Xenopus tropicalis: one gene and its partners. The protein of the gene in region 1 interacts with the protein of each later gene in a biochemical or structural test. Links are inferred from orthologs where the notes say so. Each region holds a gene or a part of one and is shown on either strand. Other genes may lie near its edges.

Region 1 (2,358 bases):
CCCATCGAGCGCAGCCGGCCAACGCGGCCCATCGAGCGCAGCCGGCCAACGCGGCCCATCGAGCGCAGCCGGATGTGAATGACCGCACCAAGTCAGTCTGTTTGAGGGCCCCAGGAGCACTGAGGGGGTGCAAGTTTGGGCCCCCCATAACTGCAGTAATTGTTGCCTTGGGTACAATAAGGGGCGTGGCCCTATACATGCCAGTTTCTCGCTCACCTACCCAGAGTGCACAGGGCCCAACTAGGGATGGCCTTGCCTCTATTTCCCCATGACTGGGCATTGGTTGGCGGTGTTTCCTACCGGCAACACAAGTGGTTGCTATGCACTCGGTGCCTAGCAACAGCACACAGCTTGGGCTCTGTACAGATGCTGGGTGCGCAGGCGCAATCACCGGGATGTGCAGCCGCTAGTGGGGGGGTGGGATGAAGGTTGCCCACAGGCCCCAAGGGAAGGGCCGATTGCCCCCCGGGCACAGAGAATGATTGGCTGCGGCACAGATGGAATTTCTGTCGCTTTTATTTCTCCTCAGAATTGAAACACAGTATAAAGAAACATTTCCTACAGCTCAGCAGTATCCGGGCCCTCCCCGTGGCACTAATGCCCCCCCAGGGGCACCCCCATGGCTCCTCATGCATGTGGAACAAGGGAGGATCCCAATCACCAGCAGGGGGCAGTGCCTGGGGGGGCAGAGAGGTGCAAGCACAAACAAGACATGAAGCCAATGGGATGGGGGGGGTGTAACTGCTCTAAGAGCTGGGGGGGGGGGTAATAATCACGGAAAGTGCTTACAAGAGGACACAAGACAGCTGAGAAGATAATAAGGTACAGGTAAGGCTGGCGCACCCCCATTCCCCCCGGCCCCCCACAAACTATATGTTTAACCTCAGGGAGTGAACGGCAGGTCAGTCATGGCCGACCCATTAACCCCTGTGCCCGATCTGCTCCGGCGCCGGCGGCCCTCCAGCATTGGCTGGCTCCCAGGGGGCGGGGCCTCAGCGAATGGTGTAACGCACGTACGGAACCTCCACGTCCTCGTCGCTCTCATCGTTACAGCAGAGCTCGAACACCAGAGCCTTCACGTGCTTCCCGATCTTCTTCTTCGACACCTTCGTCACGATGTCCGTCATCCTGTGGGGGGGCAGAGGGCCCAGTTACACGGGGGGGGCTGGGGGGGTTACACAGAGGGGGCTGGGGGGGGTTACACAGAGGGGGCTGGGGGGGGTTACACAGAGGGGGCTGGGGGGTGTTACACAGAGGGGGCGGGGCGGTGTTACACAGGAGGGGGCTGGGGGGGGTTACACAGAGGGGGCTGGGGGGGGTTACACAGAGGGGGCTGGGGGGGGGTTACACAGAGGGGGCGGGGCATAACAGAGGGGGCAGACTCAGTAAGCAATACGTACGGCTGCTCCAGGCGCTCCTTCAGCTTGGCGGCCGGCATGAAGAAGGAGTAGAGCATAGACACCCCCTGGGACAACATGGTGATCTCCAGCTTGTGTTCCTCCTGCACCACAAACACAATAGGTGAGCGCCACATAGCGAGGGGGCGGGGCCTAACCACTTCCTGCCCCCGGTACTAACGACTTGCCCCACTCACCTTAAAGTAGTCCAGGAACTGTTTGAGCGTCATCTCGTCCCCGTTGCTCTGCACTCCCTTCACTTCAAAGCGGTCCCACAGCGTCCACTCGTTGTCATAGTACTGCGGGGGGGAGAGGGGCAGGTTAGGGGGGGCACATCCCACAATAATGTCCACCCTACCAACCGCCGGCCCAGCAGCGCTCACCTTGTGCTTGGGGGCAGCGATGGGCTCGGAGAAGCCAAAGAAGGGCAGCGCCAGGTTCATGAAGCCATTTTTGAAGGACTCCAGCTTCCTGTGGCCCTGGATGATCTTGTACAGCTCCAGGCAGACCAGCCCCACTACGGCCCCTGTGGTGGTGGCAATGGCCGGAATGATTTTGCCCGCGATCAGTTTGCTCTGTGGGGGGGAGGGGAGAATGAGTCAGGAGGATGGGGGGGCTCCACTGCAAAGCCTGCTGGGAGAGACACTGCCGGCACAGAGAATCCATCAGATGAAACTTAGTAGTTTCACATTAGTTCCCCTTTAATCAATACTTCCAACACCCAAAAATAAAAATGTAAGCAACTCCCCAATATCCACTGCCCCTCCCTGCACTGCTGCCTCCGACTCCCCAATATCCACTGCCCCTCCCTGCACTGCTGCCTCCGACTCCCCAATATCCACTGCCCGTTACTCTTCCCTGCACTGCTGCCCCCGACTCCCCAATATCCACTGCCCCTGTTACTCTTCCCTGCACTGCTGCCCCCGACTCCCCAATATCCACTGCCCCTCCCTGCACTGCT
Region 2 (4,082 bases), on another chromosome or scaffold:
AAGAACAGTGCTATCCCACTCATGGTTTAGCTGCATCTCTCCATCAGACTCACATAGCGATTTATACATGACATTGCAGCTTTCGGTCTGTGTAGCATTCTGCACAACACTGGATGTTTTTAAATTGCTACATGCCAATCATATTTTCCTTTATTTATGTGACTTATTCAGTTCATTTTCTCTCTGTAGGGCTTGAGTTATCAAGTTAGGAAGTTCTTAAAATGGGTCACTATGATCCCCTTTAGGGTGAAGACACCTGGAGCTACTAGTAGCAGCTACAAAAACAGACAATGCTGATAATTTACTGATAATTGTCTCTACGTGTATTTTAGCAGAGGCAATTCTCAGTCTTGTATATGGCAGGGTATTTTCTGGCATTCTGTAGCCATGACAAGTAGCTGCTACTAAGTAGCTAAATGTGTCTTTGCTCTTGATGCTATGAAAATGCAAGTAACAGACACTAAGTGGCTGATTATATGATCATTTAATCCAGGGTTTCAGCTAAAACAAAGTCAGAAAATACTAGTAAGTTGTTTTATTATCTGGTATCTACTGTTTTTTTCCCATTGTGCAGGGTTTTTCTTTGCACAATCAATTGTTTTTAAAAAAAACTTGCTTATTCATAAAATGATTACATTTATAATTATATATATAGATATAGATATATAGATTATATCTATAAAGAGTGTAGTCGCACAGCTGACTCTGAAATTCACCCACTTTCTATTTATTACTAAGGGATTTTTAGAAATGTATTTATCAAATAATTATTCCTATGGGATTTTTAGAAGCATGTTTATCAGAGGGTGAAAGTTAGAGTCCATCATTTGATAAATATGTTTCTAAAAATCCCTCAGGAATAAATAGAAAGTGGGTGAATTTTTCTGTGGTTAGCTCTAATCTCACATTTTGATAAATCTCCCTCTAAGTCTTAGGATGATAAATCATGGGTGCTCAGCAGCTGGCTAAAAGCACCAACTGGAAAAAAATACCAGCCTTCCTATATTTTTTTTATCTATTGTCCCTATTAATATTACAATCATAAAGGATCAATTTTACCCGCAAGGTGGCAACCCTACATGTAAACCAGCTGAAAAGCATGTATCATTAGCTTTAAGATGACTACAAAAAATCCAACACTGTCTTTGATTAAGCCACTCCAAGCCAAGCCCTCCAATACTGGGTTGGAGATCAGTCATTTATCTATTGCCCTGGTTTGAAAATTATACCATCTAAGAAGTCTTTATTGGGTTGAAGTGTCTGCATAGGCCCCTAGGGTGATTCTTCTGTTAGCCAGGAAGAAAAAATAAAATCAGAACAAATATGGGTCACTCAATATTCCCAAAATCAGGCAAAAGTCAACTCATTTAGTAACCTTGTTAAACAAGTGGATCTTTGTGCACATGGCTATCTTAGGCCATTTAATACTAAGAGAACTAACATTACAGGAAATGATATAATGATATATGCACTTTTTTCACCTGCACGTTGAACAAGTAAAGCAAGTCAACATACTGTACAACAGAATTCCCATTTAAGAGTCAGGCAAAACATGTTTTAATCAATCCAACACTGGTTACACTGTCAGTATTGCACACATATCTATTAGTTGAGTGCACAATGAAAACAAAATCAAGATGTATATGCTACACCTCCGCTGTCCAACTGGAAGCCCACAAGCCAGATGTAGATCTCCAAGTCTTTTTCATGGCCCCCAGCAGGCTCATGGACTCCAAAGACTTTATATGACATCATCATTTCAGCAAAGTCCAGCCCCTGTACATGTGGTTTACTGGATAATTAGCCAACTACATGCAATAGGTTGAGCAAGCATTGAGCTACACTATCCACAAATTACAGATTTGCTAATAAACTGGATCAAATAATGTACAAACTGTACACTACCAACACACTAAAATGATAATAAGAATGAGTGCAAGCTCCTTGGAACACAGAATCTAATATTGAACTTGAATTGTTTACATATGTCCTTGTCTGGGGCTACATCCTCTGCTTATAAATGGTCGGCCCTCAACCTTTTGTTTAGCCATAGTTCCAAGAAACCCCACCAGCCAAAGCATACTGGGGGATGCTGGGAGTTGTAGTGAAACCCCAGCATGAGGGCAGCAGGCTGGACAACCATGACTGACTGAATGCAGAAAAGATTCCATTATCTACACTGAGTGAAGCTTGGTGTGTGTAACATGGTTCCCTCCCTAATGTACAGCACATCTGTATATGAAAGTCCTAGCCTGGCTAGTAGGATGGTAGCCCATCTGGCCAGCTGTAGGCTGCACAACACGATGTAGTGGGAGCTGATGTACCCTTACATTTGTATATAGGTTATGGGTCACATAGACACATCTATACACTGCATTCCCAATCTTTGGCACATGTAACACCTATACATCCTGTTGTGCCCTTTGTACAGCCAGTTTTATATGGGAGACCAATCATTTGTATGAAAGCACAGACAAATCATTACCTGCCCCCAATCCCGGTGCCGAACAAAGTGTGGGTGCAACACACGAACCCAGCTCTTCCTGACCTCCTCCTCCTCCTCTTCTTCCTCCTTCAACTGTCTCCCTGGGGCGGGGGGTCCTCTTTTCACACCTCTTCGGGGTCCGGACACACATCCACAGTCACCCCGGACCCCAAGGCACCTGTGTAGGTAAGTGCGTAGGGCTAGTCGTCAAGAAATATTAAGCCAAACGCCCCGCTTACATATGGTAAATCCCCTATTTCTCAGCAGCTCTCCCCCTACATCCAGAGCACAGGCTCCTATTTTAGCACGGACACGCGCAAAAGGGGCGGGTATTAGTACGGTATGTATGTCGCCGCCCTCTCTGGCTGCCTCTTCAGAACAACTCCTAGCGGCTCCGCCCACCGCCGTCGATGGACCCGCCCCAAGGAGTGCAGGAGCGCGCAAATAGAGTGTGATGTAAAGAGGGAGAAAAGAGGCCGTGAGGGAGGGGGCGAGCACATGGAGTCAGTGTTTCAGTGCGCGCTCCCGACACCGCTTGGCAGAAAATAGAAAACGTAGGGCTGCAATAACTTCAAGGGGTATATAAAGCTGAGCTGTGTGTTACTCAGCAATGATGTAGAAGTTACAGGGTTCCTCTGCTGTGTCAGCAGGTCCTTCATATTCTATGTGGCTGCGGCTATGGAGTGCTGAGCAGTATGCGCCGTGCCAAGGCATACACAGTGCTGGTTGCCCAGACGAGTGCAAATGTGGCCCTGAATAACTCTCTCTTGCTTTTCCTATCATGGACATGGGGCCACTGGCTCACATATTGTTTGGCAAGGCATTAGTGCTGTGGGATTTCCATGTATATGAGAAGTTTTCCCAGGGCACTGTCCCAGCGAGTAATTGCTCTTTACAGGGTATTGGTGGTTAGGAGCATGAGTGAATTGTTTCCATATCAATTTTAAATCTTTATTAGTATCTGCGATGTCATTTTTTTGTGGCAAAGGCCACAGGTGTTACAGCACAGGGCCACGAATGATATTTCATTTATTTGCCTATTACAGCCAGTGGTTTAAGTTTGGGGGGTTACTTTGCATACTATTCACCAAAACTATTTATTACAGGAAGTAATGAAAGAGGGGAGAGGGTATTTAGTTGAATATTTGCCTCAATTTATATTACTCCACAAGGAAAAACACATCTTGAAAAGTTAGACAGGAAGTGGCTTAGGGATATGGCTATCTGTGTTCTTAACCTACATAAATATGTGCCAGAACAACACAGATATATGCACAGCAGCATTCATGTGCATCAGGGCTGGCCAGCTCATAATCCTCCAGGTGCAGCTGAACATTGAAAATAGCCTGCGAAGAAATTCTGTTTATTACTAATCCTGTCAATTCCTGTCATTTCCAGAGTGATTATTGATTTTTCCTTGTATAAACAGAACTTTCCTGGCACTTCTGCGGCTCTTTATCTGTGCTAAACCAGTTTCACCATCAGGTCTCGATTTCTCAGTGAGAGACGCAGAGGAAGCTATTCACCTTCTGACAGACCAAGGTAATCAACAACCTTTGCCCCTTAGGCCCCATGGTTTTTATTTTTAAAAAAATCG
Region 3 (4,157 bases), on another chromosome or scaffold:
TGGCGATTTGCGATCTTTCGCGTGACCATCGGTCGCACAAAAGATCGTTCAATTTGCCACTAACGTTCAGGGCTGAAACGGCAGATAAGGATGTAAAAACAATAGGATTTCTACCTCCTTCTGCCGATTCAGCCCTGAAGGCAGATTTTGCTCAGGAGCCTTCTATGGCGCCCGATCAAAATCTTTTAACCCACCCGATTGGCGAGTCGATCGATATCAGCAGCCTCCTGCGATATAGGTCGACTTGCCATACACGCACCGAATATCATATGAAACGAGGTTTGGTACGATATTATCGGTGCTTGTATCGGTACTTTTCCAAAAGTCGCAGCTACTAATCACCCCGTGCCTCTTCACCCTAAATGTCTAACTTTGATTCCCTCTTTCTCTGTAATAATAAAAAAGTAACTTGTACTTCAAACTAGCTAATTTATAATTAATCCTTACTGGGGCAAAACAATCCTATTGGGTTTATATATATTTTTTTTTTAGAAGCCCGCTTGTCCAGAAAACCCTAGGTCCCACACAATAATAAACCAACATTTACTTTCATAACATCGTAAAATTATTTTACCTGGGTCCTGGCCAAAATGATTACCCTTTCCCACTCTGACTACTAAAGATCCCTATAAATGTGGCCCCTATTCTATGGCTAAACACAGAATAAAGGAAAGTGATTAGACTCTCATCCGTAAATCCAGAATAAAGGTCACCAATTGGCTTAAGTCGGACCCAGTATTGTAGAACGTGCGTGGCCAAGAGGATTCAGTTTAAACTGACACAAACAAATGAAAGTTGAATTGCCCACATACATACACAGATGTGGATCACTGAGCAAATAGGTGTTTACCCCAAATCTCTCATCATAAAATGATCTTCAAGTTGGGCTTTCAGAGTATCTAAAGGGAGCAACTTATGCCCTTATAATATTTACTGGGGTTCAGGTTGGGTCTCTTGTTTTGGGCCCCCACAGGTGGCCCTGCCCAACATACTGGGAACCACTATCACAGGCCACACTGGAGGAGCCATTACCCAGTAAGGGTTAAAGGTAAGCCATAGAGCAAATGCAGTGTCATGGGCTTCCTACAGCCCTCACATGAAAGGCAAGTTACATTTTCCACTGCATTAATCATTTATAGGATCAATCACACACTGTGGATAATAAACTAGGGATAACAGAGTTTTTACCGTGCTCGTAAGAGCTAACAATAAAAAAAAATGGTGTTATATCACAGGTAATGAGAACCCAAGCCCTTGGAAATCTCATAAACACCTTCTTGCCATCAACAGCGGATCCAAAGGAAGCCTGCTAGCCAGTACCTGGGCTAAAGGCTTAGGCACTTAAGGTGGCCATTTGCTTGTTTGGCGAGGTCACCAAGCGAGCTGATCTTCTCCCGATATTGGGCCAAACAATTGAATTTCATTGGGCATAGGTGCTGTTGGATCAGGAACCACATCAATGAGCCAATGCAGTCCCAGATGCAACAGAAAATCAAACCTGCCTGATTGAGATATGCTCAATTTTTAGGCCAGATCTCAGTCAGGTAGGCCCATACACAGGCAGATAGGCTGCCAAATTGGTGAAGGGGTGAAGACACACTGGGCTACTAGTAGCAGCTACTTTTTCAAGGCTACTAAACTCCATATTGTTTATCGCAGGGTTATACTGAGAATTGCCTCTGCTAAAACACACGTAGAGACAGTTATCAGTAAATGATCAGCATTGTCTATTTTAGTAGCTGCTACTAGTAGCTCTGTGTGTCTTCACCCTAAGGGCTCTGGTACACGGGGAGATTAGTCGCCCGCGGCAAAACTCCCTGCTCGCGGGCGACTAATCTCCCCGAGTTGCCTTCCCTCTGCCATCCCACCGGCGAACATGTAAGTCGCCGGCGGGATGGCAGACGCGGCGGCGCGATTTCGCGCAAATCGCCGAAAAAGACTCGCGAGGCTTTTTCGGCGATTTCCCGAAATCGCCTCGCCGCGTCTGCCATCCCGCCGGCGACTTACATGTTCGCCGGTGGGATGGCAGAGGGAAGGCAACTCGGGGAGATTAGTCGCCCGCGAGCAGGGAGTTTTGCCGCGGGCGACTAATCTCCCCGTGTACCAGAGCCCTAAAGGACACGGAGCTACTAGTCGGAGCTACTAATCGCAGCTACTAAAACAGACAATGCTGATCATTTACTGATAATTGTCTGTACGTGTGTTTAGCAGAGGCAATTCTTAGTATTGTCTATTGCAGGGCCTGGTGTTTAGTAGCTGTGACAAGTAGCTGCTACTAAGTAGCTCCATGTTTCTTCACCCTAAGGGTAGGGATGCCCAACTTGTAGACTCCAACCACCAGTGAGTCAGGGGAGCAGCAGGTCCAATTAAAGGGGATGACTGATAGAATTCCATGAATCATTCCTAAAGAGCAGAGGGCGCAGATACACATTTATTTTGTATATACAAAAATAAATCTGGACACAGCTTGGAATTCACACCCCAAAAATGTTTAGGTCAGGCACTCACCTTAAAATAGCCCCCCTCATACAGGGTATTAGGAGGCCCAAATATTGCCACTTCCCAGTTATACAGGTCACTTTCATCAACCAGAGTTATCCTAAATCCCTCCACCGGCTCTTCCTGCAGGGACTTCAGCTCCAACATCAGGGCCTTCTGGGAGCTGGTCATCTGCTGCTGGGCCATGGTGGGCGCAGAGGTGGGAGGTAAGGGTCGGGGTGCTTCTCCCAGCAGGGTATGGGGGGGGGGGGGCAAAGAGATTCTCTCCTGGGGCAAGTCTCTTCTCTTAGGGGGGCTTTCTTTAGCTCAATGTGGTAGTCAGGCTCCCTCTCAGGAATGGGGTTGGGGGCCTCCACCTGTAAGGGGAATGGTCTACTAAAGTCTCTCCCAGGGCCACACAAAGGCTTCCCTTGGGGGCAGTGAATGGAGCTGGATACTGAGGGGCCACACAAAGGCTTCCCTTGGGGGGCTGCGAATGGAGCTGGATACTGAGAGGCCACACAAAGGCTTCCCTTGGGGGCTGCGAATGGAGCTGGATACTGAGGGGCCACACCAAGGCTTCTCTTGGGGGGCTGCGAATGGAGCTGGATACTGAGGGGCCACACCAAGGCTTCTCTTGGGGGGCTGCGAATGGAGCTGGATACTGAGGGGCCACACCAAGGCTTCTCTTGGGGGGCTGCGAATGGAGCTGGATACTGAGGGGCCACACAAAGGCTTCCCTTGGGGGGCTGCGAATGGAGCTGGATACTGAGGGGCCACACAAAGGCTTCCCTTGGGGGGCTGCGAATGGAGCTGGATTCAGGGGCCACACAAAGGCTTGTGAATGGAGCTGGATACTGAGGGGCCACACAAAGGCTTGTGAATGGAGCTGGATACTGAGGGGCCACACAAAGGCAATTCCCTTGGGGGGGTGTGAATGGAGCTGGATACTGAGGGGCCACACAAAGGCAATTCCCTTGGGGGGGTGTGAATGGAGCTGGATACTGAGGGGCCACACAAAGGCTTGTGAATGGAGCTGGATACTGAGGGGCCACACAAAGGCAATTCCCTTGGGGGGTGTGAATGGAGCTGGATAGTGAGGGGCCACACAAAGGCAATTCCCTTGGGGGGCTGTGAATGGAGCTGGATACTGAGGGGCCACACAAAGGCAATTCCCTTGGGGGAGGGCACAGTTGCACACAATAGAAGTGTGAGGGGCAGGGAAGGGCCCCCCCTACAGCCACACGGAAGTGGTTTCCCCCAGCAGAGGATGAATGAAGGAGGGCACACAGGGGCTCAGTAAGTTGGGCCAGTCCTGTCAGGGCGCCAGTGGGTGCCGGGCCTCAGGCTGCTCTCTCCCCGGTGGGTGAGTTGGGTCCGTGTGTGTCAGGCTGGGCTCCCCGGGCCCCTGTGTGAGTGTCAGAGAGCCCGGGCCTGTGTCGGTCAGTGCAGCTTACGGGCCTGTGGCCCCTTCCCGCCCGGGTGTCAGTGTAGGAGGAGGCAGTGCGGGCCGGAAGGCTGTCAGGCCGGGCAGGGTGCGGGGCGGTGCGGGGACTGAGACTCTTCCGATCCCCGGGGTGCGGGCCCAACTGTTCGCTTCTCTCAAATGGTCTCTACCTCAGCCGGACCCGCCAGGGCTCCGCCTCCCACTCCTTTTGTGACGTCACACGCACGGCGCC

What was found. The genes of interacting proteins can lie anywhere in the genome.
Region 2: of the proteins of uba1 (region 1) and ube2e2, one has a biochemical effect on the other in vitro, tested with the Homo sapiens proteins (4 studies listed by BioGRID, with this or other methods). The link is inferred for Xenopus tropicalis from reciprocal best matches to the Homo sapiens genes UBA1 and UBE2E2.
Region 3: of the proteins of uba1 (region 1) and ube2r2, one has a biochemical effect on the other in vitro, tested with the Homo sapiens proteins (5 studies listed by BioGRID, with this or other methods). The link is inferred for Xenopus tropicalis from reciprocal best matches to the Homo sapiens genes UBA1 and UBE2R2.

What each region holds. Positions count from the first base shown.
Region 1 is NC_030684.2:539,130-541,487, reverse strand, and holds the end of uba1 (ubiquitin-like modifier-activating enzyme 1), read right to left. Parts: intron 1,973-2,358; coding exon 1,781-1,972; intron 1,697-1,780; coding exon 1,595-1,696; intron 1,502-1,594; coding exon 1,401-1,501; intron 1,129-1,400; coding exon 993-1,128; 3' UTR 501-992; downstream 1-500. UniProt on the Homo sapiens protein: Catalyzes the first step in ubiquitin conjugation to mark cellular proteins for degradation through the ubiquitin-proteasome system.
Region 2 is NC_030682.2:46,326,714-46,330,795, reverse strand, and holds the start of ube2e2 (ubiquitin-conjugating enzyme E2 E2), read right to left. Parts: upstream 2,801-4,082; 5' UTR 2,486-2,800; intron 1-2,485.
Region 3 is NC_030677.2:211,137,602-211,141,758, reverse strand, and holds the start of ube2r2 (ubiquitin-conjugating enzyme E2 R2), read right to left. Parts: upstream 2,801-4,157; 5' UTR 2,686-2,800; coding exon 2,509-2,685; intron 1-2,508. Other genes in the region: uncharacterized protein DKFZp434B061-like, read right to left, coding at 2,801-3,547, 3,655-3,773. UniProt on the Homo sapiens protein: E2 ubiquitin-conjugating enzyme that accepts ubiquitin from an E1 ubiquitin-activating protein, and catalyzes its covalent attachment to other proteins by an E3 ubiquitin-protein ligase complex.